Linked DNA regions of Macaca fascicularis. The protein of the gene in region 1 purifies or fractionates together with the protein of each later gene. This does not show direct contact. Links are inferred from orthologs where the notes say so. Each region holds a gene or a part of one and is shown in the gene's direction. Other genes may lie near its edges.

Region 1 (6,276 bases):
TCATTGTTGTTTTAAAGATAGGGTGGCTGAGCGTATTTGTTTCCCTTTTTTCTCCAGGGAAGCCAAGAAAAGGGAGAAATCAAAGATGGAATAAGACGGTGGCCATTGGTAAGATCCAGGTATTGGACAAAGTTGGAAAGAATTTTGAATGCAACTGAGAAATTAGTTTTTGAGAGGGAGAGTGCTGACTTTTTCTGCAATTGTAGATAAGGATGACAGGATATAGATATGATGAAGGAACCAGGTAAAGAATACTAGGACTGAAAGAGTGACAAAGTAAGACTCTACCTTCATTGATTAGACTGGACTAACAGACAGAGTGTAAAGCCAGCTGAAAGGTAAGCAGAAAAGAGTATTTCTCTTAAGGACATATTACATTTATAAAGTGTCACACAAACTCCTTCTTTGAGTTACCTAATTTTTTTTTTTTTTTTTTTGAGACAGGGTCTTGCTGTGTTACCCAGACTGGAGTGTAGTGGCATGACCATAGCTCAGTGTAGCCTTGGCTCCTAGGCTCAAGCGATCCTCCTGCCTCAGCCTCTGTAGTAGCTAGGACTGCAGGCACTCACCACCATGCCCGGCTAATTTTATTATTTTGTAGAGACAAGGTCTCTCTATGTTGCCCAGGTTGGTTTTAAACTCCTGGCTTCAAGCAATCCCCCTGCCTCAGCCTCCCAAAGTTCTGGGATTACAAGCACGAGCCATCATGCCTGGCCTACGGATTTCTTACTGAGAAAACCGATTCTACAAAGATCATAGACTATTAGAAACTGTTGCTTGAAATTATATCAGTAAGAATAAAACATTCCACTCTTACTTGGAGGACCTAAGACACAGAGAAGCAGCCTTGACTTCCAAGCCAGGTGAAGAGCTTTGGAAAAAGGGGTTTCTGAAGACAACCCTTCCCATCCATCTTAACTTTAGTATTCAAAGAAACAGAACCTGGGGTCCACTGTAGTCCAGACCTGATTTTTGTTTGTTTGTTTTTTTGAGATGTAGTTTCGCTCTCCTTGCCCAGGCTGGAGTGCAACCTCAGCCTCCCGGGTTCAAGTGATTCTCCTGCCTCAGCCTCCCGAATAGCTGGGATTACAGGCATGCACCATCATGCCCAGCTGCTTTTGTATTTTTAGTAGAGACAGGGTTTCTCCATGTTGGTCAGGCTGCTCTCAAACTCCCGACCTCAGGTAACCCGCCTGCCTCAGCCTCCCAAAGTGCTGGGATTACAGGCGTGAGCCACCACCCCTGGCCAGATCTGATGTTAATGCCTTTACTTGCAGCTCTGCCTTGCTTGGGGCCTCTCAAAACACTGCTTCATTGAAATGTTATCAGAACTCCACACCTCCCAGAAAGCCCCGGGTTAATTCCATCTATTCTTTTGTTTGGTGAGATGCTCTAAGGTTCCTTGAGCTTGAGCTCTTCTTCAAGGCAGTGGATTAATAAACCTGAATCTGTTGAACTCTGAATTGGTTTCTGGAGGTATTAGGATGATTGGGTGAGCACAGGGAGCCCTGGAGGTTTTCATAGTTCAATCCTTCGTTTTACAAACAGAAATTGGGGACCGGGGGAGGAGGTGTTACTGCAGTTCTTCCGCAGCACCTCAGAGCCACTTCCTCAGATCCACTTCCCCGTGGAATTTTTTGGTACTCATCTTCTAAAACTAGAAGGCAAAATCAGCTATGGAGTGGTTTTCCTTGGATATGTAATGCACAAATTTACCTAGGCCTTTTATAAAGACCATCTTTATGCTCCAGGTCAGTCATTCCTCCAGTATTGGGATTGATGAGTTCCGTATGTTCATTGCCGGCGAAGTGGCGGGAATTCGCTGAACTGCGTGGGGGCGGCGAGGGTGCGGGCTGGATACAAGGCACTGGGCAGATGAAGTGACAGAGATGCTGTGTGAGGGGGGCTGAGGGCGCTTCCCCCTCCTCACCCTGCTGTTCCACATTTCTTCAGCAACCTTCTTCATTCCTCAGGAAAATTTTCCTTTTTCTTTCTTATTCCTGTCTCCCTACATCCCACTCTCAGGAAAGAGTTACCCTTCATTGAAATCTTACTTTTTCTGGCAATGCGCTCTAAAAAGGTAGACCAGGAATGATTCCCGCCGCCAGAAAAAAATGAAAGCAACACTTCCTTTTAGGAATATAGTACTTTATGTTTTTAATTTTAAAGCTGGTCAAGTGACACAGCGGGAGTGGAGAAGAAACAAATCTCTGGCTGTCATCAACTAGTTGCAAACACCACCGCACCCGGACCAGCCTAGTGATTTATTTAAACAAACCACATTAAGTAGTTAAAGCAAACCCTTTCTCCCCCAAAGAAAAGAAAGCTAAGTACGTCTGCCTTAGCTCTGGGGGATTCTTCGGCGGCTGGGGATGGCGACTGGGAGCTGCCGCCCTGCGTCCCCAGGCACTTCTGCGAGACGGTCAGTGCTGTAAAATTTGAATCTGCGACTCCTGGCCAGGAGTGGTGGCGGAACCGGCGGCGCGGCAGCAGCGACCGGCTGCGAGCTCGGGCACGGATTGGTCGCCGTGCCTCCCGGCCCACCGCGCCGGCGCACTCCTCCACCCGCGCCGCCCAGTCGCCCAACGGCGGCCTCAAGAGTGATAGGGCAGCAGCCGGCCAGCCGGCCAGCGGACAGCGGAGCGGAGCGGGCGGACGGGTAGGCCCGATCTGCTCTTTGCGAGGAGGAAGAAGGTGGCCACTCTCCCGGCCCCCAGAACCTCCCCAGCCTCCGCAGCACGCCCAGGCCGTCGAGGGCGTCGCTGAGGAGCCGCCGACGCTCTCCCCGGTGCCGCCGCCGCCATGGCTGCCATGATGGATCGGAAGTGAGCCTTAGGGTAACGGCTGCCGGCGCCGGCTCTTCGAGTCCCGGCTCCCCGGCCGCCTCCGCCCGGGGAAGCGCTGCGCTGCGCAGCTGACTGCTGCCTCTCACGGCCCTAGCGACCCCAGGCCCTTAGCCCCGTCGCGCTCCCCGCAAGACTAAGCAGCCGGGAGTGGCTCCCGGCCGCCGGCCCCGGCTGCGAGAAAGATGGCGGACCTGGCCGAGTGCAACATCAAAGTGATGTGTCGCTTCAGACCTCTCAACGAGTCTGAGGTGAACCGCGGCGACAAGTACGTCGCCAAGTTTCAGGGAGAAGACACGGTCGTGATCGCGGTGAGTGACCCCCTCCGGCACCCCTCCTTCCGCTTCTTCGGGCCGGGCTGTGCAGAGAGTTTAGGGAAGTGGCAGGGTGCAGAATTGAAAGGGAGCAGCGGTGTCCCCAGCAATCCCCGGCGGGGTTTGCCGGTTCAGATAACCCAGTGGAGGAAGACTGCGCAGCTTCGCGTGCGTTCCGGGATCGCCCCCACCCCGGTCTTTGGCGCCGGGAGACGGGAGGCGCCCAGCCTCAGCCCTGGACACTCCCCCACCTGCGGCAACGGAGGAACGTCCGGGGAGCAATTTCAGTGCACGTTTGTCTGCGTTTCTGTGTGTGCAATTACGGATATTGGTGTTTTGGATTAACCCCAAATTTGCCATTCAGAAAATATGTAATGCTTATATAAAGTTCAGCTGGGGACATTGAGCTGTGAGACAAGCCGTATTATGCTTTAGTAAAGATACTTAGTTTTATAGAAACATAACCAGTCCTTGAACCGTGTTGTTTCCCCCTGGGAGAAGGAAAAAGCACCAAACAGCTACAAATATTATGTACACCTCAAACTTTCACCCACCACTTTTTGAGTGGTGAATGACTTTTCATGTTAACAATTACAAATGGTAAATGGATGATTGTAGAAAGAAATAGTTGAGCTTTTTTTTTTTTTTTTAATAAATCGGAATGATCAATTTTGTTTAATCTAGCAGACCTAGCCGACTTTGGTTGAGTCAGATAAGTGCTCCGAAAGACAAATCGCACTCTTGCTAGGTTTTATGGGATAACAGCCTAGGAAAAAGTATCAGCTTTTTGTTTTTATATCAAAGTATTATAAAAACAAGCTTATAAAAAAGATAAAAATTGACCAGTATTAGATTCATACTTCTGCAATTAAGGTCTATCTTGAAGAAAATTGATCTTTGGTAATCCCAAGAATAGTGAGATACTGTTTTTTTGTAATGTAAAACATAACTAGAGTTGAGTGATCATTTGAGACCAAAATGTGAGGGTGTTTTAAGGTCTGATCTCTGGCATTGAAAGGTCTGAGAAAATAGCACTCCTAGTTGAAGGAGATTAAAAATTAATTGTAAAGTATGGCATACGAAACAGTGAACTGTGACTAAATTATGTTCATCTTTCTTGGCAATGCTATGTAGTAGAACTAACTTTCTACATTGTTACCGTAGTATGAAATTTTAATATGTTAATTTTTCCTCTAATGTCATTCTGTAGTTAATAATTGTATGGGGCTATTTAATTTGGAAATAGGGCAGAGGTCACAGGAGATGGGACAAGGATGATTGAAAGCATTGACACTGAAGACAGACTAAAGTTCTTTAGGGTTTTGATGTGAAAGTTTCTCCAAAGTTCAGCTCCGAAAAATGAATGTCTTAGCTCCTTGGTAGGCCTTTGGCAAACAAGTCATTAGGCCACTAACAACTGCCAACTATTACTGTGTAAAGATTGTCAGGCCAGTTCTTTGTTAACAAGTGCACAAGAAAACCTCTTGTGTAAATGACATCATAGGTTGGCAGAGGCGGAGTAGGAGTAGTTAAGCGCAGTAATCCTTTTCCTTTAGGATGGTATATTTTACATATAGTCTGGAGGCTTGCAAGGCCTAGATTAGTTGTCACACTTGAGGCCATTAGTTTCTTAAGAGTTTTTGTAATTTACAGTACTCAGCTTCAGCAGTGGTTGGCACATAACAAACCTATTTTTCCTTTTACACTTGTCTTAAGAATGTCTTATTTCTTCAGATTTTGTGTTTACACAGATCTGTAGTTATCACTATGATTCTTTTTGTTGGAATGCTAAAATTTAGGATTCATAAAATGTATTAAGATTAGAAGGTAACCTTTGATGAGGCCCAGATATGACATAAACTATGAAGAAAGAACTAAAGGAAAATGAATAAAGGAAACATACATTTATTCTAGGTTTCCATTGGGAAAAAGTTGCTTATAAGTTCTGTTTCAAAATTTCAGTACTCTATATAAACGGTAATATTAGGAATAAATGTATAGGTTGTTGGTTTGTGAATCCATAATGAACAGTTAACCTTTAGGTAAACTGATAAGCATTTTAGTTGTTTTTTGGTTGGTTGATTTTTTTTTTGAGATTTTTTTGAGTTGAGTTTTGCTCTTGTTGCCCAGGCTGGAGTGCAGTGGGGTGATGTCAGCACACTGCAACCTCCGCCTCCCAAGTTCAAGCGACTCTACTGCTTCAGCTGCCTGATTAGCTGGGATTACAGGCACGTGCCACCACGCCCAGCTAATTTTTGTATTTTTAGCAGAGATGGGTTTCACCATGTTGGCCAGGGTGGTCTAGAACTCCTGACCTCAGGTGATCCACGTGCCTCGGCCTCCCAAAGTGCTGGGATCACAGGTGTGGGCCACTGTGCCTGGCCTGTTTTTGTTTGTTTGTTTGTTTGTTTTAAGTGTAAGCAAAAATACAACTAAATAACAGCTTTAAAAAATGAAAGGCAACATGTTTTGGTTCATTGTTTTCAGAAATAGTTTCTTGCCTATAGTAACGACATTAATTACTGAAGTCTCATTTTTGTTCAGTTTTTTAAATGAATTATTTCATTTTGTAAATGGTTATAAGAGCAGCCAGGAGGAGCGGAATTAGAAAATCTCTGGGTAAAATCTTCTCGGTTTATTTTTTTCATTTTACTGGTTTCTAATCCTGATTCGTAATGAACAGTTTAGGAGAGAATTGCTGCAATGCAGCATTTAAAACTCAATTCTTTAAAACGTGATTTAAGAACATTTTGTACACAATCTTCTATTTAGATCAAAATTGAAAGAGTAGTTTATGATGTTAGAAGCATAATCAGTGCTCATGGAGAAAGTAATTTTTAAGGATTCTGATTTTTCTTCTAACTTCAGTTTTTAATACTTTGTCTAAACTTTTTTCCTGCTACTCATGTAATCAGTGATTTTAATAGGACACCATGGCAGGCAAATCTTTCAATTTCATAGTGTTTCTCTGTATGCTGTACAGCCTTTAATACAGAATTTATTTTTAATTAAGTGCTTGGTGAAGTGTTATAAATGTAACATTGAATGAAATGAATTATTTTACGAAAGTCTATAAGTGATATAAACTATTTGCTTTAAATTAGAGAACTTGTTACCTG
Region 2 (6,284 bases), on another chromosome or scaffold:
CCTGACAAAGTGCTGGGATTACAGGTGTGAGCCACTGAGCCCAGCCCAACCAATGGCAATGTATCTGGGAAATAAGGCCAATGTGATGGCTGAAGGACCACAGGTCCCAAATGCAGAAGACCCCAATCTCAGGGGCTCTGGAGGAAAACTGACCAGCTGAAATGAACAAGGATAAACACAAGCTCAGCACTGATGCAAATAACATAATCAATGGACATAAGACACAACAGAAGGTGTGCTTCTGAAGAGGGGAGCTGGATGGCTGAGGACAGCAGTCACAGGGATAACTACATTTCATTGTAACTTGCTTGTATGCCTTTTTTTTAAGTTGTTTTTTTTTTTTTTTTTTGAGACGAGTCTGTCTCTGTCACCCAGGCTGGAGTGTAGTGGTGCCATCTCAGCTCACTGCGGCCTGCGCCTCCTGGGTTCAAGCGATTCTCCTGCCTCAGCCTCCTCAGTAGCTGGGACTACAGGTGTGCACCACCAGGCACAGGTAATTTTTGTATTTTTGGTAGAGACAGGATTTCACTGTGTTGGTAAAGCTGGTCTCAAACTCCTGACCTCAGATGATCCACCTGCCTCAGCCTCCCAAAGTGCTGGGATTACAGGTGTGAGCCACTGAGCCTGGCCTTTGTATGTCTTTTGAATGTTGCACAAATGAAAGTATTAGCTATCCAGAAAAAATCATGCCAGTCACGGTGTCTCATGCCTGTAATCCCAGCACTTTGGGAGGCCAAGATGGAGGACCACTTGAGACCAGCCTGGGCAACATATCAAGACCCTGTCTCTAAGAAAATAAATTGGGAAAAAAAAAAAAAAAGCCAGGTGTAGTGGCATGCACTTGTAGTCCTAGCTTCTTGGGGGGCTATGATGGGAAGATTTCGTGAGCCCAGGAGTTTGAGGTTACAGGCTAGGCCAAGGCCAAGGTGGGTGGATTACCGGAGGTCAGGAGTTTGAGACCAGCCTGGCCAACATGGTGAAACCCCGTATCCAAAAATACAAAAAATCAGCGAGGTGTGGTGGTGTGTGGTATAATCCCAGCTACTGGGGAGGCTGAGGCAGGAGAATCGCTTGAACCCTGGAGGTGGAGGTTGCAGGGAGCCAAGATCGTGCCATTGCACTCCAGCCTGGGAGACAGACTCCATCTCAAAAAGAAAACAAAGAAGTTTGAGGTTACAGTGAGCTATGATCACACCACTGCACGCCAGCTTGGACGATAAAGTAAGAACCTTTTTTTATAAAGTATTTTATAAAGTAAGAATCTTTTTTTTTTTTTTTTTTTTTTTTTTTTTTTTTGAGACGGAGTCTCCCTCTGTCGCCCAGAGTGCGGGGGCGCGATCTCGGCTCACTGCAAGCTCCGCCTCCTGGGTTCAAGCGATTCTCCTGCCTCAGCCTCCCAAGTAGCTGGGACTACAGGCTCCAGCCACCACGTCCAGCTAATTTTTTGTATTTTTTAGTAGAGACGGGGTTTCACCGTGTTAGCCAGGATGGTCTCTATCTCCTGACCTCGTGATCCGCCCGCCTCAGCCTCCCGAAGTGCTGGGGCTACAGGCGTGAGCCACCGCGCCTGGACCAGAACCTCTCTTAAAAAAAATCATTGGCAGAGAACAGGTTTGAGAAGAACCTGGTTGGATGTAACTGAGATGTGTAAAATAGAGGGTCTTCACTTGTGTAAAAGGCAGCCTGGTTTGCGGCTTTTTTTGTGGACAGGTGGCATCCTGGGGGTACCGTCCCTCTGATCTGCGCAGTTCATTCCTCGTCTCTGATCACTGGGCCCTGGGCTGAGCACCACCTTCTGAGCAGGACCGACAAGCTAGACTACACCCAGAAAGGAGAAATTGGGATGGGGAAGGGTCAGGAAACTGCGGTAGGACTGAGCGAAAGGACCAGGAGCAGCCCGGGGAAGAGATGAGACCACGCGGGGCACCATCGCTGTCTCCAAATACCTTAACCGACATAAGGGAGCAGCTTTCTTTCTGAAGACAGAGCTAGGGCTGTGGATGAGCACTGCAGGAAGGCACTTCGAGGTCTATACAAGGAAAATTTTGCTAACCTTTGGAGTTGTCTCAGAGCCGAACGTAGTAAGCTCCCTGTCACCGGATGTGCTTGAGCTAAGGGCGCTGAACCACCTCTGTCAGAGATGGTGCGTCCCCCACCAGATGTGACCCCGGGATGCGAAGCCCGGGGTCAGATCTGCGAGCCAGGTAACAGCGGCATTCACTTCTCGGGTCTTCGTGAGCATTAAGTCAATGAACCCAGGGCACCAAGGCGCGCAACACGCAGTAGGCGCTCAATTAGTGGCAAATGCCTCGCTCTGTACTCCGGGAAGCCCAACCTTCTCCCTGCGCCTCAGTTTCTCCCGCCGTCCTCGATGGCGCCACACTAGGTACCTTAGGGTTCAATCTCCCGAGCAGCTCCACACCCTGAGGACCCGGGCCATTTTGAGGCCGAGGGCACCCCTCGGGGCTGGCGGGCCCCTGGAAACTGCGCCCCGGGCGGGTCCTCGCCCCGCCCCCGCCTCGATGGCCCCGCCCCGTCCCCCTCCCGCTGGAGCCGGCCCGGCCCGCGCTCCTTTAAGGCAGCGAGCTGGCCGTGAGAAGCGTGTTTCGCCCCCTCCGACGCCACCGAGGTAGCGGCTTCACCTTTAAGGCGGCGCGGGGGCTGCTGGGAAGGCCGGCGGGATGGAGGCGGCGGGACCGGCTCGCGGCTGTGGGTCCGGGTGAAGCGGGAGGCAGCCGGAGCCGGAGCCGGGCCCGAGCACCAGGCGCAGGTCGGCGCGGGCCGATTGGGCCGGGAGACGGGATCAGGCCCTAAAGCAGGGGGAGGCTCCAGGTCGGCCTAGGGGAGGGGGTCGTCGTGGGCGCGGCCTGTGGGAGGATCCGACCAGCCCTGGTAGGGGGCGCGGTCCCGGGTGGCCCAGGGCAGGGGCGCGGCCTTTTTAGGGGAGGCCGCAGGACGTTGCGCTGGCCCAGGGGAGGGGTCGTAGTGGGCACAACCTGGAAGGACTGAGGGCCGCGGTCTCAGCCCCTGTAGGGAGATGGCCTCCGCAGGGTCGGCCCGTCGGGAGGATGGGCTCCGCGGCGTGGCCTGCCGGTTGGGGATGGGGCTGTCCGAGGGGCTGGGCCCGGATCGCCGGAGGGACCAGGGTCTCCTGCACAGGAGAGAGCCCCCACGTTCCCCATACCTGCCCTGGTTAGGGGGTCCCCGGGGAAACCCGGACACTGGGCCGCCTAAGTCGGCCTAAGCCGGTGGTCTGGGGCCGAAGCAGGGTCCGGCCGCACCGCATTGCGTCTCCCTGGCCAAGACGAGCCGGGCGCGCCCTCTGTAGGCCAAGCGTGGGCAAGGTACGGGTTGCAGGCTGGGGGACCTGGGCACACGGGACCAGGCGTCCGGGGACCGCCTGTGTTTACCTAATCTGGGGCGGTGTGGCCCCAGGCCCGGCGCCCGCCTGCCCGCACCCTCGTCCTCACAGACGCCACAACCATGGCCATGATGGTGCTTCCGCGGGAGGAGAAGCTGAGCCAGGATGAGATCGTGCTGGGCACCAAGGCCGTCATCCAGGGACTGGAGACTCTGCGTGGGGAGCATCGTGCCCTGCTGGCTCCTCTGGTTGCGCCTGAGGCCAGCGAAGCCGAGCCTGGCTCGCAGGAGCGCTGCATCCTCCTGCGTCGCTCCCTGGAAGCCATTGAGCTTGGGCTGGGGGAGGCCCAGGTAGGTCAGTCTAGGGTACTGAGGTGGGATCGAGCCTTCCAGAGAAATCCAGTAATCTAGGAGAAGAATATGAGCAAGGAATCTTCTGTTTCCTGGAGCCCCGTGTTAGGACCCCAGTAAATACCTTTTGAAGAAATAAATGCACTTTGGCGACCCCAGCCCTGCCCTAAGAGACCATGATCACCCTCGCCCCCACGCAGAGCCCCATTCCCAGCTCCCCTCTACCTAAGGGAGACTGGATGGCATATGAGAACAGAAAGAAAATCCTTAAGGAAACACAGCCTCCCACCGATTTATTCTTCTATTCATTCGTTAACAGATGAGTTTTTCAGTGCCAGCCAGGCCGTTAGGTGGATACAGGACCCAACAAAATAGACAGGATTCCTGCCCTATTTGGAAAAGAGACAAAAGCACACATAAGGAAATAATTGGTTGTTACAAATTGTGATGAGTTCTACAAAGAAAAGAACAAGATTTTATGATAGCTCACAGCAGTGAGTCTTGTCTACTGGTCAGGCAGGATTTCTATGAGGAAATGACAAACTGAAACCTGAGGGAAGAAATGAACCAGTCTCCAGGAAAGGGAGGCAGGGGAGAAGTTGCATGTGCAAAGGTCCTGGGGTAGGAGTTGTGGTGGAGGAACTCGGGGAAGAACTGTGTGACTGGAGCTTCATGGAAGGGAGAGAGGGACAGAAGAGGCCTGGGGAGAAGCCAAGAGCCAGATCATGGCCTCGTTAGTGTGGGTTTTATCCTCAGGAAGTCAGAAAGCCTCTGGAGGGCTTTAAGCAGACAGGCAACACAGTCTGACTTGAATTTCTAAAAACTCTCTCTGGCTGAGATGTGGAGAATAAATCTCAGTGGGTCGAGGATGCAATCACTCTCCAGTGAGTGGTTAGGAAGCCACTGCTGGAATTCAAATCAGAGCTGGTGCTTGGAATTAAGGGGTGGCTATGATGGTGGAGAAAAGGGACCAGTTCTGGATGTTCTGGAGGTAGGTCCAGGAAGACCCAGGGTGGAATAAGGGAGAGAGAGGAAGGCAGCATCACTCCCAGGTTTGTGATTTAAGCACATTAGGGAGGAGAGGGCCTGGGTGGATCAGAACTCTGTTTTGGCCCCCTTTAGTTGAGGCTGCCAGGATGATATGCAATTGGAGATGTCCAGGAGCCATTGGGATGTGCAAGGAGTTAGACTTGTTTTATTCTCCTCAGAGCTTGGCTGAACCCCTGCCTGGCACATGAACCCTGGGGAGGTTGTATCATCTTGGTTTCCTTTTCTTTAAAATAGGGATCATGCCATCTGCTGTGTATACTTCCAGGCTGTTGGAGGAATTTTTTTTTTTAAGCTAGTGGTTATGGAAACACCTGTCACTTAGGCATTTGCTAACCAACTGTAAAGTACAGGGTCTCAGACGGCCTGGCCCTCTGCAAGGACATTCACTCCTCTGCCAGTTGGCCATCACAGGCAGAGAGGACCAGTCAGGGGTCCCACACCTGGTGGAGCACATGCACTCTCACAGAGGGGGAACAGTCTGCATGGAGGGCATGGGCATCAAGGCCATGAGTGAAACTGGAGCAGAGTGGGAGGTGTGACTAGCTGGAGACACCACTGCAGAAATGACCCTGGACCGTGAAGGACCAGGAAAGGGTGGAGGCCAGGTGTGGTGGCTCACGCCTGTAATTCCAGCACTTTGGGAGGCCCAGGTAGGAAGATTGCTTAAATCCAGGAGTTCATGAGACCCCGTATCTATGAAAAAATTTTTTATTTTCATTTATTTATATTTGAGACAGAGTCTCACTGTGTTACCCAGGCTGCAGTATAGTGGTGCAGTGTCCGTTCACTGCAGCTTCCACCTCCCAGGTTCAAGCGATTCTTCTGCCTCAACCTCTTGACTAGCTGGGACTACAGGCACACACCACCACACCCAGCTAATTTTTGTATTTTTAGTAGAGATGGGGTTTCACCATGTTGGCCAGGATGGTCTCAATCTTCTGACCTCATGATCTGCCCACCTCAGCCTCCCGAAGTGCTAGGATTACAGGCGTGAGCCACCGCACCTGGCCAAAATTTTTTTTAAATTAGCCAGGTGTGGTGGTGTGCACCCATAGTCCCAGTTACTCAGGAGGCTGAGGTGGAAGGACCACTTGGGCCTGGAAGGTGGAAGCTGCAGTGAGCTGTGATGGTGCCATAGCCCTTCAGCCCAGGTGACAGAGTGAGACATTGTCTCAAATTAAAAAAAAAAAAAAGAGAGAGAGAGCAAGAAGGGAGGTTGGAACCTAGGCAGGAACGCAGGAAGAGACTGGAAACTCAGGAAAGGAGTTATAGAGGCTGGGGAGAGGGGTGGGGGTTGAGGCCAAGGCCTCTGGATACTTTTCCTGCCCCTGTGGTTCCTCACGCCAGCTGAGCATTTGGGATACATGCCCCTTCCCTACCTGGGAGCTGCAGAAAGGCAGGGGATGCTGTGGCCCCCTCAGCAGAAGTGGGGATGGAGTCTTTGGGTGGCCCTTCAGCCATCTAGCAGAGTTCTGTGAGCAAGCACTAGCCCTGGGGCAGGGAGCAGTAACCTCGTGGCTGTG
Region 3 (5,727 bases), on another chromosome or scaffold:
TGAGTGTCTGCAGCAGGGAGGCCATGAGGAAGGGCTGGTGCATGAGAAGGCCCGGCAGCTTCGCCGTTCTATGGAAAACATTGAGCTCGGGCTGAGTGAGGCCCAGGTGAGAGGGCAAAGGTGGTGCCAAGTGGTCCAGGGTGGATGGAGGAGCAGGTACCTGATTGAAGGTTTGGGGTTGCTTGGGATCACCTCACTCTAGACGTTTGCATCCATTCATTAAATATGTATTAAGTCACTACTATGTGCCAGAATGCTTTTGGTCACTGAAGAAATACATCATTGAACAAAATTGTAAAAATCTTTGCCATCTTGGAGCTTACCTTCTAGCTGGGGAAGACAGACAATACCTAAATAAATAATGATTTGGTATGCCAGAATGATAATTGCTAAGGATAAAAGGACCAAAATAAAGCAGGGAAGGAGACTAGGGACTGTGGAGAGAGGGTATAATTTTAGATAGGGTGGTCAAAAAAGGTCACCCTTTTTTGAAAAGGTGACATTTTGGCAAAGATGTGAAGGTGAGGGGAATGAGTCATGCCTATTAAACAGGGGAAGGGCGTCCTAATCAGAGAGAGCAGCAAGTGCAGAGACTCTGAACGGAAGTCTGCCTGGTGAGGTCAGTGAACAGCAAGGGGCCAGTATGGCTGCAGTAGAGTGAATGAGGGGAGGGAGATGGATCAAGTGGAACTTGTAGGCCATCCCGAGGACTTTTATTTTACTTTTTTTTTTGAGATGGAGTCTTGCACTGTTGCCCAGGCTGGAATGTAGTGGCACCATCCTGGCTCACTGCAACCTCTGTCTGCCAGGTTCAAGCGATTCTCCTGCCTCAGCCTCCTGAGTAGCTGGGACTACAGGCGCGCACCACCACACCCGGCTAATTTTTGTATTTTTAGTAGAGATGGTGTTTCACCATGTTGGCCAGGCTGGTTTTGAACTCCTGACCTCATGATCTACCCGCCTTGGCCTCCCAAAATGCTGGGATTACAGGCGTGAGCCACTGTGCCTGACCCTGATTTTACTTTGAGTGAGATGGAAACTATTGGAATGTTTTTAGAAGAGGAGTGATGTGGTCTAACTTGGCATCATCTGGTTGCTGGGTTACGAATAGACAGTAGGAGAACAAGGGCAGCAACAAGGAGGCCAGTGAGGAAGTTATTGTAGTAATTTGGGTAGGAATTGATAGTGGCTTTGCCCAGGGTGACGGCAGTGGAGGTGGTGGGAAATTGGATTCAGGATGTTTTGAAGGTAGTGCCACTGCTACACCCCCACCTTCTGGCTCCTTTGTGCACCTGCCAGTCTTGCTACGTCCCAGTAGGCTCCCCTTCCACCTGTTCCTGAATACTCCCACCCAGAATCTGGAGCTCAGGGGATATGCCCATCTAGGTGATGCTGGCTCTAGCCAGCCACCTGAGCACAGTGGAGTCGGAGAAACAGAAGCTGCGGGCTCAGGTGCGGCGGCTATGCCAGGAGAACCAGTGGCTGCGGGACGAGCTGGCTGGCACCCAGCAGCGGCTACAGCGCAGTGAACAGGCTGTGGCTCAGCTGGAGGAGGAAAAGAAGCACCTGGAGTTCCTGGGGCAGCTGCGACAGTATGATGAGGATGGACACACCACGGTGAGTGTTCACAGGCGAGACTGGCTAAGGGGTGGGCAGCCAGGAGTTACCACAGACATGGGGGAAATTGCCTCATCATCCTCAGGGTCCATTAGCTCTACCCAAACTGCTCTTACCTGAAAGAATTCCTTTTTCAGCCCTGACACCAGCTCCTGGTGACAGCAAGGGGAAAAACTATATTCAGCTAATTCAGTCAACATGTAATGAGATGCCTCCTATGTACCAGGCGTTGTGCACTGCACTGGTGAGTGGGGCACACACAGTTCCTGCTCTCACAATTACAAGCTTGACAAATAGACAGACAAACACCTGGACAATTCCAATCCAGAATCCTGCGTGCTACAATTAGGGAAAGCATAGCCCAGTTGAGCATGACCCTCCTAAAATTTGCTTTCAAAATGTGTGAATTTTTTTTTTTTTTGAGACGGAGTTTCATACTTGTTGCCTAGGCTGGAGTGCAATGGTGCAATCTTGGGTCATGGCAGCCGCTGCCTCTCAGGTGCAAGCAATTCTCCTGCTTCAGCCTCCCAAGCAGCTGGAATTGCAGGCGCCTGCCACCACACCTGGCTAATTTTTGTAGTTTTACTAGAGATGGGGTTTCACCATGTTGGCCAGGCTGGTTTTGAACTCCTGACCTCTGGTTATCTGCCCGCCTGGGCCTCCCAAAGTGCTGGGATTACAGGTGTGAACTACCATGCCTGACCCAAAATGTGTGATATTTAACCCTCATTCAACAGAGTGCAGTGATGCCATCTCAGCTCACTGCAACCTCCGCCTCTGGCGTTCAAGCAATTCTCGTGCCTTAGCCAGCCAAGCAGCTAGGATTACAGGCATCTGCCACCACACCCAGCTAATTTTTGTATTTTTAGTAGAGACGGAGAGTTTTGCCATGTTGGCCAGGCTGGTCTCATTCTCCTAGCCTCAAGTGATCTGCCTGCCTCAGCCTCCCAAAATGCTGGGATTACAGGTGTGAGTCACCGTGCCTGGCTGAGAGTGTGTTTTCTTCAGATGTATCTGTAGGGAACAAGTCTTATCCATGAGAACACATATGTGACAAAATACAAAGCAGCAAGTGCTCAGTGCTGGATGAGTGGTTCAGTCAGTGTGGGAAGAATTTCACGGAGATATGTCTCTGAGAGCTGGAATGGTCTAAGAAGAATTCATGGAGGAAGCAGGGAGCCTGGGCAACATAGTGAGACCCCGTCTCCACAAAAATTTAAAAAATTAGCCTGATGTGGTTGTGTGCACCTGTAGTGTCAGCTATTCGGGAGGCTGAGGTGGGAGGATTGCTTGAGCCCAGGAGGTAGAAGCTGCAGTGAGCTGTGATTGTACCACTGCATTCTAGCCTGGGCTGTTGCCAGACCAGAGACTCTGTCTCAAAAAACTAACAAAAAAATTGAGGAAGCAGGGTACAGGGATGGGTAGGATATAGGTTGGATTTCCCATTTCAGTGGGTTAGGATCCATCCCATTCGAGATGGATTTTGAAATTTCATGATGAGGAAGAGGAAGGAGCTTTTTAGACTGGAGTGTAGGGTGTCATGGATAAGGCTTACAGCCTGGAAAAGCTGGTCTCTCTCAGGGAAAGTGAGTAGATGGATTGCACAGGACACATTGGTGAAGCTGGGTAGGAAGGTTGGTGTTTGGATGAGGCTGCAGTTCCTGATGGGGAACAGCAGATTTTCCTGGTGCAGAATAGGTTAGACGGTGAGGGAGGGTTGTGCAGTAAGTCCAGAATGAGCTGTGCAGATGATGGGCACCAGGCTGAGCTAGACACTTTTTGGGTACATGTCAATAAGATCGGACATACTCCCTTCCCTCAGGAGAGACAGGACAGACATATAATCAACATAAACACACAGAGATCAGCATAGGGCCATAATTACAAGAGTTAAGGAGAGATTGAGGGTGGTTAGAAAGGAAACTTTTTTTAATCTTTTTTTTTCTTTTTTTTTTTTTGTTTTGAGACGGAGTTTCGCTCTTGTTGCCCAGGCTGGAGTGCAATGGCGCGATCTCAGCTCACCGCAAACTCTGCCTCCCAGGTGCAAGCGATTCTCCTGCCTCAGCCTCACGAGTAGCTAGGATTACAGACATGCGCTACCACGCCTGGCTAATTTTGTATTTTTAGTAGAGATGGGGTTTCTCCATGTTGGTCAGGATGGTCTTGAACTCCTGACCTCAGGTGATCCGCCCACCTCGGCCTCCCAAAGTGTTGGAATTACAGACGTTAGCCACCACACCCGGCCAGGAAGGAAACTTTCTGTATGAGAAGGAGGGGGAAGTTTTGTCCAAAGCATCTCTGGCTGTTACAAACCAGAGGCCTGGGCTTGGTTGGGCCAGTTGCTAGCCTTTCCGGGGCAGAGACAGGAACAACAGTCTTCTCCTATGCCCCATCTGTCTGTGATTTCATGGCTTAGAGGGGTCACTGAGGAGGCTACTAGGTAGGGATATCTTGGCCCTTAATGTTGCTTCTTCCCTTCTAGGAGGAGAAAGAAGGCGATGCCACCAAGGATTCCCTGGATGACCTCTTCCCTAATGAGGAGGAAGAGGACCCCAGCAATGGCTGTGAGTCTGCCTCGGGAATGGGATGGTGAAAAGGGGCAGCAGGAGGCTGGCCCTAGCTGTGGCCCACCCTGTACACAGGACACTCACCATCTGGAAATAGGTTATCCACTTTTTCTGGAGACAGGGCAGGGGCTGGGCTAGTACTTCGATTTCCTCAGCCTCTCCACTGAACAAACATGTATTTTTTTTGTTTTGTTTTGTTTTTTTGAGACGGAGTCTCGCTCTGTCGCCCAGGCTGGAGTGCAGTGGCGCGATCTCGGCTCACTGCAAGCTCCGCCTCCTGGGTTCCCGCCATTCTCCTGCCTCAGCCTCCTGAGTAGCTGGGACTACAGGCGCCCGCCACCGCGCCCGGCTAATTTTTTGTATTTTTAGTAGAGACGGGGTTTCACCGTGGTCTCGATCTCCTGACCTTGTGATCCGCCCGCCTCGGCCTCCCAAAGTGCTGGGATTACAGGCGTGAGCCACCGCGCCCGGCCACAAACATGTATTAAACACTGAGTATGTGCCAGGTACTGTGCTAGGCACTAGGAGTACTGAGATGGAAATGGCATAGGTCTCACCAGTAAGGAGTTCACAGTCTAGTGGGAGAATAAACCTGAGATGGGGAGACCATGAGCCCCTCAAGGGAAAGAACCAGGTTTTTTTTTTTTTTTTTTTTTTTTTTTTTGAGACAGTCTCAATCTGTCTCGCAGGCTAGAGTGCAGTGGGCCAATCTCGGCTCACTACAACCTCCACCTCCTGGATTCAAGTGATTCTCCTGCCTCAGCCTCCCGAGTAGCTGAAACTACAGGTGTCCACCACCACACCCGGCTAATTTTTGTATTTTTAGTAGAGACAGGGTTTCACCATATTGGCCAGGCTGGTCTCGAACTCCTGACCTCATGATCCACCTGCCTCGGCCTCCCAAAGTGCTGGGATTACAGGCGTGAGCCACTGCACCTGGCCAGAACCAGGTCTTTCTTACCTTTGTACTCCTGGGACATCCCTTGGTTCATATTTATTAAATAAATGTTTGTTGAATGAATGAATTACTGGGTGAATAACTGAGGTTGTGATGGGCACAGGTCAAGGGAGTGAATAAAAGAATAGTGCTTGAGGCAGGTCTAATATTGAGAGCCCATGTTGGGGCAGGCATAGGTATGGAACAAGACGTGCAATGGGGAACGGAAGGGCAGACAGCAAAGGAGAGAGGAAGAGTCCTTTGTTTATTTTCTGTGATGGTTTAGTGTCCCGTGGTCAAGGTACTGCAGCAGCTCAGCAGGGTGGATATGAGATCCCAGCAAGGTTGCGGACGTTGCACAACCTGGTGATCCAGTACGCAGCCCAAGGTCGCTATGAGGTGGCTGTGCCACTCTGTAAGCAGGCACTGGAGGACCTGGAGCGCACATCAGGCCGTGGCCACCCTGATGTTGCCACCATGCTCAACATCCTTGCTTTGGTGTATCGGTGAGGACTTCCCTCCTCCAGTGCCCAGATCTTCCCCTACATTCCCACCTTGGTCCTCCTTTGGCTTTCATTTTTCCTCTTTACAGGGTACCTGTCCTGC
Region 4 (5,727 bases), on another chromosome or scaffold:
GAGGAACTGGAGGAGACACAGCGGCGGCTTCGTGCCAGCGAGGAGGCCGTGGCCCAGTTGGAGGAGGAAAAGCGCCACCTGGAGTTCCTGGGGCAGCTGCGACAGTACGACCCGCCCACGGAGACCCAGGTGCCACGGGCAGGGCAAGGTGGGGGTGCTGGGCCCTTCACAGAGCCCCACGGTTCCCCAGACCCTCCTTAGAATCCCAGTCCCCCAACCCTCCACAGAGCCCCCAGACCCACCAGAACTTCCGCAGACGCCCCCACTAGCTGCTCCCCGAAGCCCCCGGGCCTCGCCAGTCCCCCAGGGGGCCCCTGACGCTCATGATCACCACCTCCCTCAAACCCCGAGATAGATGCAGGGCTCCAGTCCCTGAAACAAGCCCCCCTCCCCCGGCCCCCCACTATCCTGTCCCTGCAGCAGTCTGAGTCCCCGCCTCGCCGAGACAGCCTGGCCTCCTTGTTCCCCAGCGAGGAGGAGGAGAGGAAAGGTGGGTATCCGGAGTACATGCCACAGATGATGGCGGGCCAGGGTGGGGAGTGGGCTCTGAGCTGCAGAACCCCAAAGTCTCTGAACAGGGATGGAGAGGTGAGGGCAGGGTCAGGAGGACCCTGAATGTGACAGTGAGCAGGTGAGGCTGGGAGCTGCGAAGACAGGGTAGCTGCCATGAGCCCGGCAGGCCCCGTATTCACATCTTGCAGGGCAAGTGAGCTGCCATGTACCTGTCCCGAGGCCAGGATGCATCCCACCAGCTGGTTAGATGCTAGTGACTCCAATCTCAGAAGTTAACATGGGGGCCCATAGTCCCAGGGGCCAGTTAGGCAGTCTGGGGCGTGTGTCTCCTCGTGCGAGGATGGAGGGGCAGGAGGTTTAGGAGGCTTGCAGTGACCTAGAGCCCACCCTGCCCCACCCAGGTCCTGAGGCCGCAGGAGCAGCAGCAGCTCAGCAGGGTGGCTATGAGATCCCTGCCCGCCTTCGGACCCTGCATAACCTCGTGATCCAGTACGCGGGGCAGGGCCGGTATGAGGTGGCGGTGCCCCTGTGCCGCCAGGCCTTGGAGGACCTGGAGCGCAGCTCGGGCCACTGCCACCCTGACGTGGCCACCATGCTCAACATCCTGGCGCTGGTATACCGGTGAGAGCTGCGGCCGGCCATGGCAGGGGGCAGGAACGGCAGGGACCCATTGGGTGCAAGTGGAGGGACCCTGGTGTCCCCTCTGCCACCATGGAGCACCTGGGGAGGTTGGAGGAGGGGACAGCCAGAATGGGAAAGGAAGGGAAGGCTCCTGCTGTAAGAACGGCAAAGAGGGAGTGGGCCAGGGATCTGGCGGGTTGGCGGGGCACTGAGCCAGGCAGAGAGGAGTCAGAGCACAGACACCAGGGACCCCAAGAGTAGGCAAGAGAACTGGGGTGGTTAGAAGCTTGGCAGAGGTCTGGGGATACAGGGCCTGGTGTTAGAGAATTGGAAGGTATGTAAGGGCCCATAAAAGGCCCCCAAAGGGTGCTACCCATGCTTGCTTCAGCCAGGTTCCCTGGACCTGCCAGAATTAGCCCAGACCCTGTGGCTGTAGCTGCCCCAACCCCCGGCCAACCCCCGCCATCCCTGGGCTTCCACACAGGGACCAGAACAAGTACAAAGAAGCCACAGAGCTCCTCCATGATGCCCTGCAGATCCGGGAGCAGACGCTGGGCCCTGAGCACCCTGCGGTGAGTGGGGACCCAGGGAGACGAAGTGGGGCCGTGCCTGCCCATCCCTGACCTGTGTCTCCCCCAACCCCACAGGTGGCCGCCACGCTCAACAACTTGGCCGTCCTCTATGGGAAGCGCGGGCGTTACCGGGAGGCAGAGCCCCTGTGCCAGCGCGCTTTGGAGATCCGAGAGAAGGTCCCATCCCCCTTACCCAACCCCGAGGAACCCCTTGTAGCCCTCTCCATGGATCCTGAGCACTTACATCGTGACCCTGATCCTCGGGCCCCTTGCGTTTGGTACTGGGAGACCCCAATTGGAGCCCAACCCATCACCCTCGACCTTCTGAGATCCCAGTTTGGTCTTGACCCTGACTCTGACCTCTTGCCTTACCTCACACGCCACCCCCCAACTAGGTCCCGCCACAGCCTTTCCAACCCCTCATGGCCACTGGCACAAGCCCAGCCCTGACCTACCCATCTCACCTTGTGCCCCGTGTTTCTGGATCACCTTGGCCTCTGACCTCAGTAATCCCGCTCGACGGTGTCACTTGTGCCCCAGCCCCCAACCTCTCAGGTCACTCTGCTTTGGCCCTGTAATCCCTAACTTGTGACCACCATACAGAAGTGATGTCACGTGTCCCACCAATCCTGTATGACCCCTCTGACTTGTGACCCCTGGCCCCCAGGTCCTAGGTGCTGACCACCCCGATGTGGCCAAGCAGCTCAACAACCTGGCCCTGCTGTGCCAGAACCAGGGCAAGTTTGAGGACGTGGAACGGCACTACGCCCGGGCCCTGAGCATCTATGAGGCCCTGGGCGGGCCCCATGATCCCAACGTGGCCAAGACCAAGAACAATCTGGTGAGGTCCCTGGGGCTGAGTGGGCCCAGAGTGGAGGGTCTGCCCTGGGGAGGCACCCATTGGTTGGGTACAGGGCGAGCACCATGGGGAGGGGTCCCCCTGAGGCAGGGCCCTTGGAGCAAGTGTCCTATCGGACACAGGAGCTGGCTCAGCACAGAACACGGAATCAGGAAATGCGTGAGTCCACGGCACCCAGGACAGTCAGTGAAGGGGAAGCTGGCAGGCACAGATGGCAGCAGCAGACATTTATTGAGCTCACTGTGGCCGGCTCCCCTCTTAGCTCTGTCCCCACATCACTAGTTCTTACAGTGTCCCTATGAGGTAGAAGCTGTCGCTCTACTTTGCATGTGAGAAGAGAGGCCATGCCACCAGCCCAAAGTAGAGCAGACAGGCTCAGAAACAGGAGGTTGCCTGCCCTCCATCCCCCAGGCAGGAGGTAGGGCGGAGCTCCAAACCCCCTCTGCCCCAGGGCAAGGCTTTAGGCAGGGGCGGGATATGGCCAGGTCAGCACAGTAGAAAGTGGGACTGGGGCCAGGTGTGGTGGCTCACGCCTGTAACCCCAGCACTTTGGGAGGCCAAGGCAGGAGGATCAGTTGAGGCCAGGAGTTCACGACCAGCCTGGGCAACATACCAAGACCCTGTCTCTACAAAAAAAAAAAAGAAAAAAAGTGGGACTGGATGCAGTGTTGGGAACTGGGGTCCGAAAAGTTCCCAGACTAGAGCCAAGATCACCCAAGACACTCCCTTCTCCGCAGGCCTCAGCCTACCTGAAACAGAACAAGTACCAACAAGCGGAAGAGCTGTACAAAGAAATCCTCCACAAGGAGGATCTACCTGCCCCTCTCGGTGAGCCCCGAGCCCCTGCCTTCCCTCCTGGTGGCTTCTCTACGTCCCCATCTCGGTGTCCCCCATCTTTCCCCTAGGTGCCCCCAACACAGGCACAGCTGGTGACACAGAACAGGTGAGGATGGGCTGTGCTTCGGCTCCTGGGGAAGGCGTGGGGACTGCATGGGCTCGGGGATATGAGCAGCATCCCTGCCCCTCCCCAGGCCCTTCGCCGCAGCAGCTCCCTCTCTAAGATCCGCGAGTCTATCCGGCGAGGAAGTGAGAAGCTGGTCTCCCGCCTCCGAGGCGAGGGGGCGGCGGGGGCGGCCGGGTGAGTGTGGATCAGGTCGGCAAAGAGCCCTGACATCAGCAGAATTCATAGCCCCCCCCCCACCCCTCCTGCTCAAGAACCTTCCATGGCTCCCATCTCCCCTGTGATACACATAGATCAAATCCTGTGCTGGAAAGCTCCCTCCTGGAGGGGCCACTCCTGGATTCACTCGCTTCTTCCCTGCTGCCCCCTTCGCAGAATGAAGAGAGCCATGTCGCTCAACACACTCAATGTGGATGGCCCAAGGGCTCCTGGGACTCAGGTGAGGGGACACCGGGGTCAAAAATGGAGTGGGGCCACGTGGGTAGGTGCAGAGATAAGGCAAAAGCAGGGCAGTCAGGCCGGCGTCAGAGTCAGCAGGTGGTGGGTGTGTTAAAAGAGACCCAGGACAAGAGCAAAGATGGGTTTTACTTGGGGTAGAGGTGAGATGGGTAGACGGTTGGCTGCCAGGCTGGACGCAGCACCTGTCCCTCCCCTCCAACCATCCCCTGTGCCTGTCTCCAGTTCCCCAGCTGGCACCTGGACAAGGCCCCTCGGACCCTCAGCGCCAGCACCCAGGACCTGAGTCCCCGCTAATATCCAGTGACCTGTGTTGGCCTCAGCTGGTGGGGGACGGCGGGGGGGGTCTATCATCTCTTAGGTGCCCCCTGCCCTCTTCTGCGATTAAAGGCCGTGGATGTGACAGTGAGGAATGTCACCTGAGTTTATAAGACCTTCCAGCACCACCCCCGCTACGGCCTCGGAGCTGCTGGGACCCAGGGCCAGGCAAGACTCAGGAGTCACCAGGAATCATTTATGGCCCTGCCCATCCCGCTCAGAGCTGCTGAGCAATCTGCTCTATCCTCTGCAGCGTCTCCTCTGATTCCAGCTGCTCCAGGCTGAGCAAGGACAGGCCCAGCTGATCCTCCTGCAGAGAACAGAGGAAAGTAAGGGGGGCACTGTCAGGAAGGGGCCCAGGCAGCTGCTGTACTTCCCCGACCACCCGCCCCCGATGGGCATTAGGGGTCTGAGACGTGAGGGCCAGGATGTTTGAATTTGGAGATGTCAGTATAATCCAGAGTGGGCCATTCCTGTCCACATAAGAGGGGGCTGAGGGAGGAGCCAGCCAGGGCGTCGGAGAAGGACGGGCTTTCCCCAGGCCAGCACAGTCTCAATGCCTGATACCTCCTCACCCCAAATTCTCTCACCCTGCCTTGCCTGGGCCACCTGCTGGCATCTGTGGCCCCTCGAATCTCCCCCTACCCCCCAGAGCCTGGCATGCAGATGCACAATAAACTTCTCTCTGTAGAGGGCAGGAGGACAGGCTGGGGTTGGGGAGTGGGGAGAATCCAAGGGGCCTTTCTGGAGGAGGAGCTCAGCCTGGGAGGATGCTGGGAGGGGGATGCAGGCCTCACCCGGTGGAAGGGCTGTGCCATCTGCCGCAGGAAGTACTTGGCCACCTGGACACCCTCATCCACAGTCAGGTTGAGGTTGGCATCTGTGAGGTGCTCCTGGATCCAGCGGGGCAGTTTCCCCCGCTTGTCCCCACGGGCAAACCGCTGTGGGCAGAAGTGCAGGCCAGGGAGAGGACGTCAGGACCCGAATCAGGGAGCCTGGGCCACCCTCCACCCTGTGACACACCCCATCTGGGAGATGAACGGGCAAATAGCCTGGTTTTCAGAGGCTGGGGTGCGAGCACAGGGGCACCCCTGAACCTGCACCTTGTCGGCAAAGACCATGAGGCCGTAGTCCGTCTTGCCCCGGATGGCCCGACCCACACACTGGGCCGCGTGGCGCATGGCATCGAAGGTGAGAAAGTCATTCTCACGAATCTGGAACTGGTCCCGCAGGTATTCCAGCCGTGCCTGCAGAAATGAAGGACGAGGAGTTGGGGGGGTGGGGGAGCCGTCCCTCCCCTGGCCCTAACACTTTGGGACTTCTAGGAGCCAGAGCTACTCACCTTGAGAATGCGACTCTGTGTGTAGACGTAGGGGACGCCAAACATGATGACGGCCCGCCCGTAGTGGTGCACTGGTGGGCAGAGG
Region 5 (5,727 bases), on another chromosome or scaffold:
CCAGCCTGGGCAACAGAGCGAGACTCCGTCTCAAAAAAAAAAAAAAAGCAGCAGCAGCAAGGACGCCACAGACTAAGTGACTTGCATGAGGCCTTGTAACTGAGAAGCAGTTAGACTGGGATTGCAGTGCCCAGAGCCCATATCATGTCCTCATTGCAGAGACTTACACAATTCACACAGAAATGGAGACGGGAGCATCACCCACATCCATCTTCACGTTCTCACTGCAGAGACATACCCAATTCATGCAGAAATGGAAAGAGGAGAATCACCCAAATCCATCTTTTCACATTTTTAATGTCTTTCCTTCCTTCTGTGCCTTTGGTTTACAGATTTCAAACCATACCGTCCATATCATCATGTATACTGCTTATTTTCTTTACATTTTTAGTGTGAGTACCTTTCAGTCATAAAAATATTTTCATAAACATGATTTTAAGATGGCTTTTTCCCCCATGGCATGGGTCTGTTGGTTGTCTAGAAACTTGGGTGAGTGTTCCGAGAAGATGACTTAAAATGATTATTGATTTGTATGCTTTCTTTCTTTCCTTCCTTTTCTTTCTTTTTTTTTTTTTTTTGAGGCGGAATTTCGCTCTTGTTGCCCAGGCTGGAGTGCAATGGCATGATCCCGGCTGACTGCAACCTCCGCCTCCTGGATTCAAGTGATTTTCCTGCCTCAGCCTCCCGAGTAGCCGGGATTACAGGCGCACATCACCACACCTGGCTAATTTTTGTATTTTTAGTAGAGACAAGTTTCACCATGTTAGGCTGGTCTCGAACTCTTGACCTCAGGTCATCCTCCTGCCTCAGTCCCCCAAAGTGCTGGGATTACAGGTGTGAGCCACTGCGCCCAGCCTTGATTTATATCTTTTCTACTTTTGCTACCAACATCTTACTACTTTTTCTTAGACTATTGTTTAATGCTTTTGTTTAGCGCTCACATTCTGAATACTCCCTTGTGCTACTTGAGCAGCTAACATTTTAGCGGTTACGTTACAGGGTCCTAGCATTTGTTGGGGTGTCTTCACAGTTGATCACCTGTCTCAGAACATTGATTCTGCACCCTGTGTCTTAACCTGTTGCTTGGTGTCCAGCTCTGTCTTCCATAGACTTTTTCCTGCAGTGTGAACTTAATCTGTCCATGCTGTAAGTAGTAGTATCTAACAAGGATCGTATAAAAAAGAAAACAGGCTGGGCGTGGTGGCTCACGCCTGTAATCCTAACACTTAGGGAGGCTGAGGCAGGTGGATCACTTGAAGTCAGGAGTTTGAGACCAGCCTGGCCAACATGGCGAAACCCCATCTCTACTAAAAATACAAAAAAATTAGCTGGGCGTGGTGGCGGGCGCCTATAATCCCAGCTACTTCAGAGGCTGAGGCAGGAGAGTCGCTTGAACCCAGGAGGTGGAGGTTGCAGTGAGGCGAGAGCACACCACTGCACTCCAGCCTGGGCAACAGAGTGAGACTCCATCTTAAAACAAAACAAAACAAAAAAAAGCAGCCACCGAGGCTTAATGACTTCTGTTTTACTTAGCAGGCTCTGTTATCCTTCATTTGTAGTACAAGTTAAGTATCCATTACCCAAAGTGCTCCAACATTTGAAACTTTTCGAGTGCTGACTTGACCCTCAAAGGAAATTCCCCTTAGAGCAGTTCAGATTTTGGAGTTTTGGATTAGCGATGCTCAACCTGTATGCTGTGTTTTCTTCCCTAGATGAAAATAAACCCATCTGGATGCATGCTGAAGAAAGAGAAGAATGCAAAGTAAGAATGTATTATTTTGAGATTTTCTAAATTGTATATCCTGCATTCAGGATATTCATTTGAAATTATTTGTTGTAATTTAGGGAAAGCAAAAGGATGGGACGTCTTTTGGAGAGTATGGCGGCTGGTACAAAGCCTGCAAAGTTGATAGGTATGTCTGGAATCGCGTTTGGCTGGAAAAACTGAAAAGCAGGGGGAAGGTAATTGTGTTCTACAGGGCAGCTTATAAATGACCGATGTATAGTGTTCCTTAAGTGCACAGTCCCATGTTTTTCCCAAATTCCAATGTAAAAAACCCCACTAACTTTGTAAATGAGATCATTTACATGTATAAAACCCACCATCATATTAGGCTGGTGCAAAGGTAATTGCCTTACTTTTACATTTAATGGTAGAAACCATACAGCAAATTCATGACAAGCGTGCCAGCGGGCCTGGGAAGGCCAGCCCCTCACACACAGCACTGGAGACACAGATCCACACACGCTTCTTTTCCTCATGGCCCATGGGGCCTTGTCCTCTGCAGAGGGAAGTGTAGGCCCCTCCATGGCCAGCCCTAGAGCCTTGCCTCTTGGGCCTGAGCCTGTGCTGACTGCCGTCTGTGATGGCTGCCGTACCTGGGTCCAGGTGGCTCACCTGTTTTACTGCCTTTCCGCTCTTTTTTTTTTTTTTTTTTGAGACGGAGTTTCGTTGTTGTCACCCAGGCTGGAGTGCAATGGCGCGATCTTGGCTTACTGCAATCTCCACCTCCCAGGTTCAAGCGATTCTCCTGCCTCAGCCTCCTGAGTAGCTGGGACTACAGGCGCCTGCCACCATGCCCGGCTAATTTTTGTATTTTTAGTAGGGACAGAGTTTCACCATGTTGGCCAGGGTGGTTTTGAACTCCTGACCTCAGGTGATCCACCCACCTTGGCCTCCCAGAGTGCTGGGATTATAGGCGTGAGCCACCGTGTCTTTCCACTCTTAACTTTCCTCATCCTTTGAGACTCAGCCTACCATTCATCTATTTTCAGAAAACTCTCGGAACCCTCTCCAGGGCTCCCATAACACTTACCATAGATTACTTGTTTCAGAGACATAGAAAATAGCTTATTTCTGTACCCAAAATGCCTATTGTAAGAAAGTGAACAGAAATCTCTCGAAGTACTTATCTATGCTAAAATGAATCTAGGTTTATTTATAATTTTTTAAAATAAGTCTGCTCTATCAAGAATGCAGAAACATCAAGCCTAATTATACAGTTTGAAAAATAAAAAAGAACACAGAAACACAGCCGTCCTCTCGGCCATCTGCTTATTGCTTCCCTGGTACATGAAGCATTTATCCTCTGCCCTCACACCCCACTGATAGGGAGGGTCTGCTTTGCTCTCTTCTCCCCTGTACTTGAGGGAGACGGGAGCACGTGAGCAGCACCATGCAGAGCACTGTTTGTCATTATTGCCAGTGCGGACCAAGGTGTCTCCAGGGAAAGCATGCTGATCACCACACAGACCTGGCCCGGAAGTTTCTGTTGACAGAGTGGCCAGTGGTCTGTGAGAGCCGCCTCAGCCTGGATGGGGTATGGTGTTAGCCTGGCCTGAGGGGGCTGTGTACAGGAAGGGCCAGGGTTATAGGAGGCAGAGCTACTTGAGAAGGAAGAACTCTTCATAATTTTACAGTTTCAAAAAAGTACAAGAGAAAGTTAAAATATAGTCAAGCCAAAACATAAATCTGTCAGTCCTTTAGATTATGTGCTGTTGATAGTGGTTGTTCACAGCTTATATGTCACAGTTCTATATGTCATGTGCTTTCTTACAGTCCAACTGTTACAACCACTCTAAAAAACCTTGGGGCACTTTACAGACGTCAAGGCAAATTTGAAGCTGCAGAAACATTAGAAGAAGCTGCCATGAGGTCTCGTAAACAGGTCAGTCATACTTCTGTCCTTAACCGGCCCTTGGGAACTTTGAATTTAATGGTTCTCTTTTACATGACTTTTGTTGAAAACTTGATTTAGAAATAGAAAATGTTGATTATTTTAGTTTGAACAAATAAAGTTATATTGTTTAAAAGAGCGTGAAGCCGGGCACAGTGGTTCACACCTGTAATCCCAGCACTTTGGGAGGCCAACGTGGGCAGATCACCTGAGGTCAGGAGTTCGAGACCAGCCTGGCCAACATGGTGAAACCCTGTCCCTACTAAAAATATAAAAATTAGCCTGGCGTGGTGTGGCACATGCCTGTAATCCTGTAATCCCAGCTACTCGGGAGGCTGAGACAGCAGAATCGCTTGAACCTGGGAGGTGGAGGCTGCAGTGAGCCGAGATCACGCCACTGCACTCCAGCCGCCTGGGTGACAGAATGAGACTCCGTCTCAATTGAAAAAAAAACAAAAAAAAGCAAAAAAAAAACAAAAAAAACACCAAAGGCGTGAGACTGGGCGCAGTGGCTCACACCTGAATCCCAGCACTTTGGGGAGGCCAACGTGGGCAGATCACCGGTGGTCAGGAGTTTGAGACCAGCCTGGCTAGCATGGCAAAACCCCATCTCTACTAAAAATACAGTGCAGTGGCACAAGCCTGTAGTCCCAGCTACTCGAGAGGCTGAGGCAGGAGAGTTGCTTGAACTCAGGAGGCAGACGTTGCAGTGAGCCAAGATCACGCCACTGCACTCCAGCCTGGGCAACAGACCGAGACTCCGTCTCAAAAAGTAAATTAAATTAAAATAAAATAAAATAACATGAATATGACCCCAAAAGCATGAACAGCAAAATAAAAACTAGGTAACTAGATCTGTTGGATTCACCAAAGTTAAAAACTATTGTGCATCTAAGGACATCATCAAGAAAGTGAAAGGGGCTGGGCGTGGTGGTGAGCACCTGTAATTCCTGCACTTTGGCAGGCTGAGGTGGGGGGAATCCCTTGAGCTCAGGAGTTCGAAACCAACCTGGGCAACATAGTGATACTATGTCTCTACAAAAATTTTTTAAAAAAATTAGCCAAGTGTGTTGGCCCATGCCTGTGGTCCCAGCTATTTGGTAGTCTGAGGTGGGAGGATCGCTTGAACCCGGGAGGTGGAGGTTACAGTGAGCTTAGATGATACCACTGCACTCCAGTCTGGGCAACAGAGAGAGACCCTGTCTCAAAGGAAAAAAAGAAAAAGAAAAAGTGAAAGGACACCCATGCAATGGGGGAAGATATTTGCAAATGATGTATCTCATAAGGTTTTGGTATCCAGAAAAAAAGGCAACCCAATTAAAAAATGAGCACAGGACCTGAATAGACATTTTCCTGAAGATGATAGACAGATGGTCAACAATCACATGAAAAGACACTCAACATCTTTAGTCATTATAGAAATAGTAACTGAAGTCACAGCGAGATACTACCTCATCCCCACTAGACTGGCTATAATAAAAAAGAGAACAAATGGAAAATAACAGGTGTTGGTGAGGATGCGGAGAGGCTGGAACTCTCATGTCTTCTTGCTGGTGGGAATGTAAAATGGTGCAGGCACTGGAGAAGTTTGATGGCTTATCTAAAAGTTAAACTTAGAAAACCACATGGCCCAGCTGTTCCAGTCCTAGATACAGACCCAGAATGATTGAACATGGACACACACCCTGTGCAACCCAAGCCCCGTCACTGTTCCCCTAAGGGGTCCTTTGTGTTTCTCTCCAGTTTCCCGCCTCCACCCTCACCCGCTCCAAGGAACCACTGTTCCAGTTTTTTTCCCTCCAGTGATTAAGAACTGGTATTTTGTTTTCTAGCCAAGTATCTCAGAAATACTTAAGAAAATCTGAAGTGCTAATGGGTCCAACCATTTTCCCTTGCCTGGCTCACAGGGTCTTGACAATGTTCACAAACAGAGGGTGGCGGAAGTGCTCAATGACCCTGAGAACATGGAGAAGCGCAGGAGCCGTGAGAGCCTCAACGTGGACGTGGTCAAGTACGAGAGTGGCCCTGACGGAGGGGAGGAAGTGAGTAT

What was found.
Region 2: the proteins of KIF5B (region 1) and KLC2 fractionate together in Homo sapiens (co-fractionation; 7 studies listed by BioGRID and IntAct, with this or other methods). This does not show direct contact. The link is inferred for Macaca fascicularis from reciprocal best matches to the Homo sapiens genes KIF5B and KLC2.
Region 3: the proteins of KIF5B (region 1) and KLC4 purify together in Homo sapiens (affinity purification with mass spectrometry; 4 studies listed by BioGRID and IntAct, with this or other methods). This does not show direct contact. The link is inferred for Macaca fascicularis from reciprocal best matches to the Homo sapiens genes KIF5B and KLC4.
Region 4: the proteins of KIF5B (region 1) and KLC3 purify together in Homo sapiens (affinity purification with mass spectrometry; 3 studies listed by BioGRID and IntAct, with this or other methods). This does not show direct contact. The link is inferred for Macaca fascicularis from reciprocal best matches to the Homo sapiens genes KIF5B and KLC3.
Region 5: the proteins of KIF5B (region 1) and KLC1 purify together in Homo sapiens (co-immunoprecipitation; 11 studies listed by BioGRID and IntAct, counting the BioPlex papers as one, with this or other methods). This does not show direct contact. The link is inferred for Macaca fascicularis from reciprocal best matches to the Homo sapiens genes KIF5B and KLC1.

What each region holds. Positions count from the first base shown.
Region 1 is NC_088383.1:32,780,010-32,786,285, reverse strand, and holds the start of KIF5B (kinesin-1 heavy chain), read left to right. Parts: upstream 1-2,576; 5' UTR 2,577-3,028; coding exon 3,029-3,154; intron 3,155-6,276. UniProt on the Homo sapiens protein: Microtubule-dependent motor required for normal distribution of mitochondria and lysosomes. Can induce formation of neurite-like membrane protrusions in non-neuronal cells in a ZFYVE27-dependent manner.
Region 2 is NC_088388.1:8,131,780-8,138,063, reverse strand, and holds the start of KLC2 (kinesin light chain 2), read left to right. Parts: upstream 1-2,575; 5' UTR 2,576-2,629; intron 2,630-2,656; exon of another isoform or gene 2,657-2,832; intron 2,833-3,198; exon of another isoform or gene 3,199-3,344; intron 3,345-3,435; 5' UTR 3,436-3,483; coding exon 3,484-3,711; intron 3,712-3,978; exon of another isoform or gene 3,979-4,100; intron 4,101-6,284. UniProt on the Homo sapiens protein: Kinesin is a microtubule-associated force-producing protein that plays a role in organelle transport. The light chain functions in coupling of cargo to the heavy chain or in the modulation of its ATPase activity.
Region 3 is NC_088378.1:128,466,211-128,471,937, reverse strand, and holds part of KLC4 (kinesin light chain 4), read left to right. Parts: coding exon 1-106; intron 107-1,386; coding exon 1,387-1,617; intron 1,618-4,099; coding exon 4,100-4,181; intron 4,182-5,407; coding exon 5,408-5,627; intron 5,628-5,727.
Region 4 is NC_088393.1:53,399,555-53,405,281, forward strand, and holds the end of KLC3 (kinesin light chain 3), read left to right. Parts: coding exon 1-129; intron 130-420; coding exon 421-490; intron 491-914; coding exon 915-1,134; intron 1,135-1,618; coding exon 1,619-1,706; intron 1,707-1,781; coding exon 1,782-1,883; exon of another isoform or gene 1,884-2,180; intron 2,181-2,373; coding exon 2,374-2,547; intron 2,548-3,302; coding exon 3,303-3,393; intron 3,394-3,470; coding exon 3,471-3,508; intron 3,509-3,596; coding exon 3,597-3,703; intron 3,704-3,901; coding exon 3,902-3,965; intron 3,966-4,095; exon of another isoform or gene 4,096-4,207; coding exon 4,208-4,279; 3' UTR 4,280-4,391; downstream 4,392-5,727. Other genes in the region: ERCC2 (general transcription and DNA repair factor IIH helicase subunit XPD), read right to left, coding at 4,518-4,610, 5,098-5,241, 5,404-5,547, 5,643-5,713. UniProt on the Homo sapiens protein: Kinesin is a microtubule-associated force-producing protein that may play a role in organelle transport. Plays a role during spermiogenesis in the development of the sperm tail midpiece and in the normal function of spermatozoa.
Region 5 is NC_088381.1:171,853,330-171,859,056, forward strand, and holds part of KLC1 (kinesin light chain 1), read left to right. Parts: intron 1-1,712; coding exon 1,713-1,762; intron 1,763-1,845; coding exon 1,846-1,913; intron 1,914-3,559; coding exon 3,560-3,668; intron 3,669-5,584; coding exon 5,585-5,727. UniProt on the Homo sapiens protein: Kinesin is a microtubule-associated force-producing protein that may play a role in organelle transport. The light chain may function in coupling of cargo to the heavy chain or in the modulation of its ATPase activity.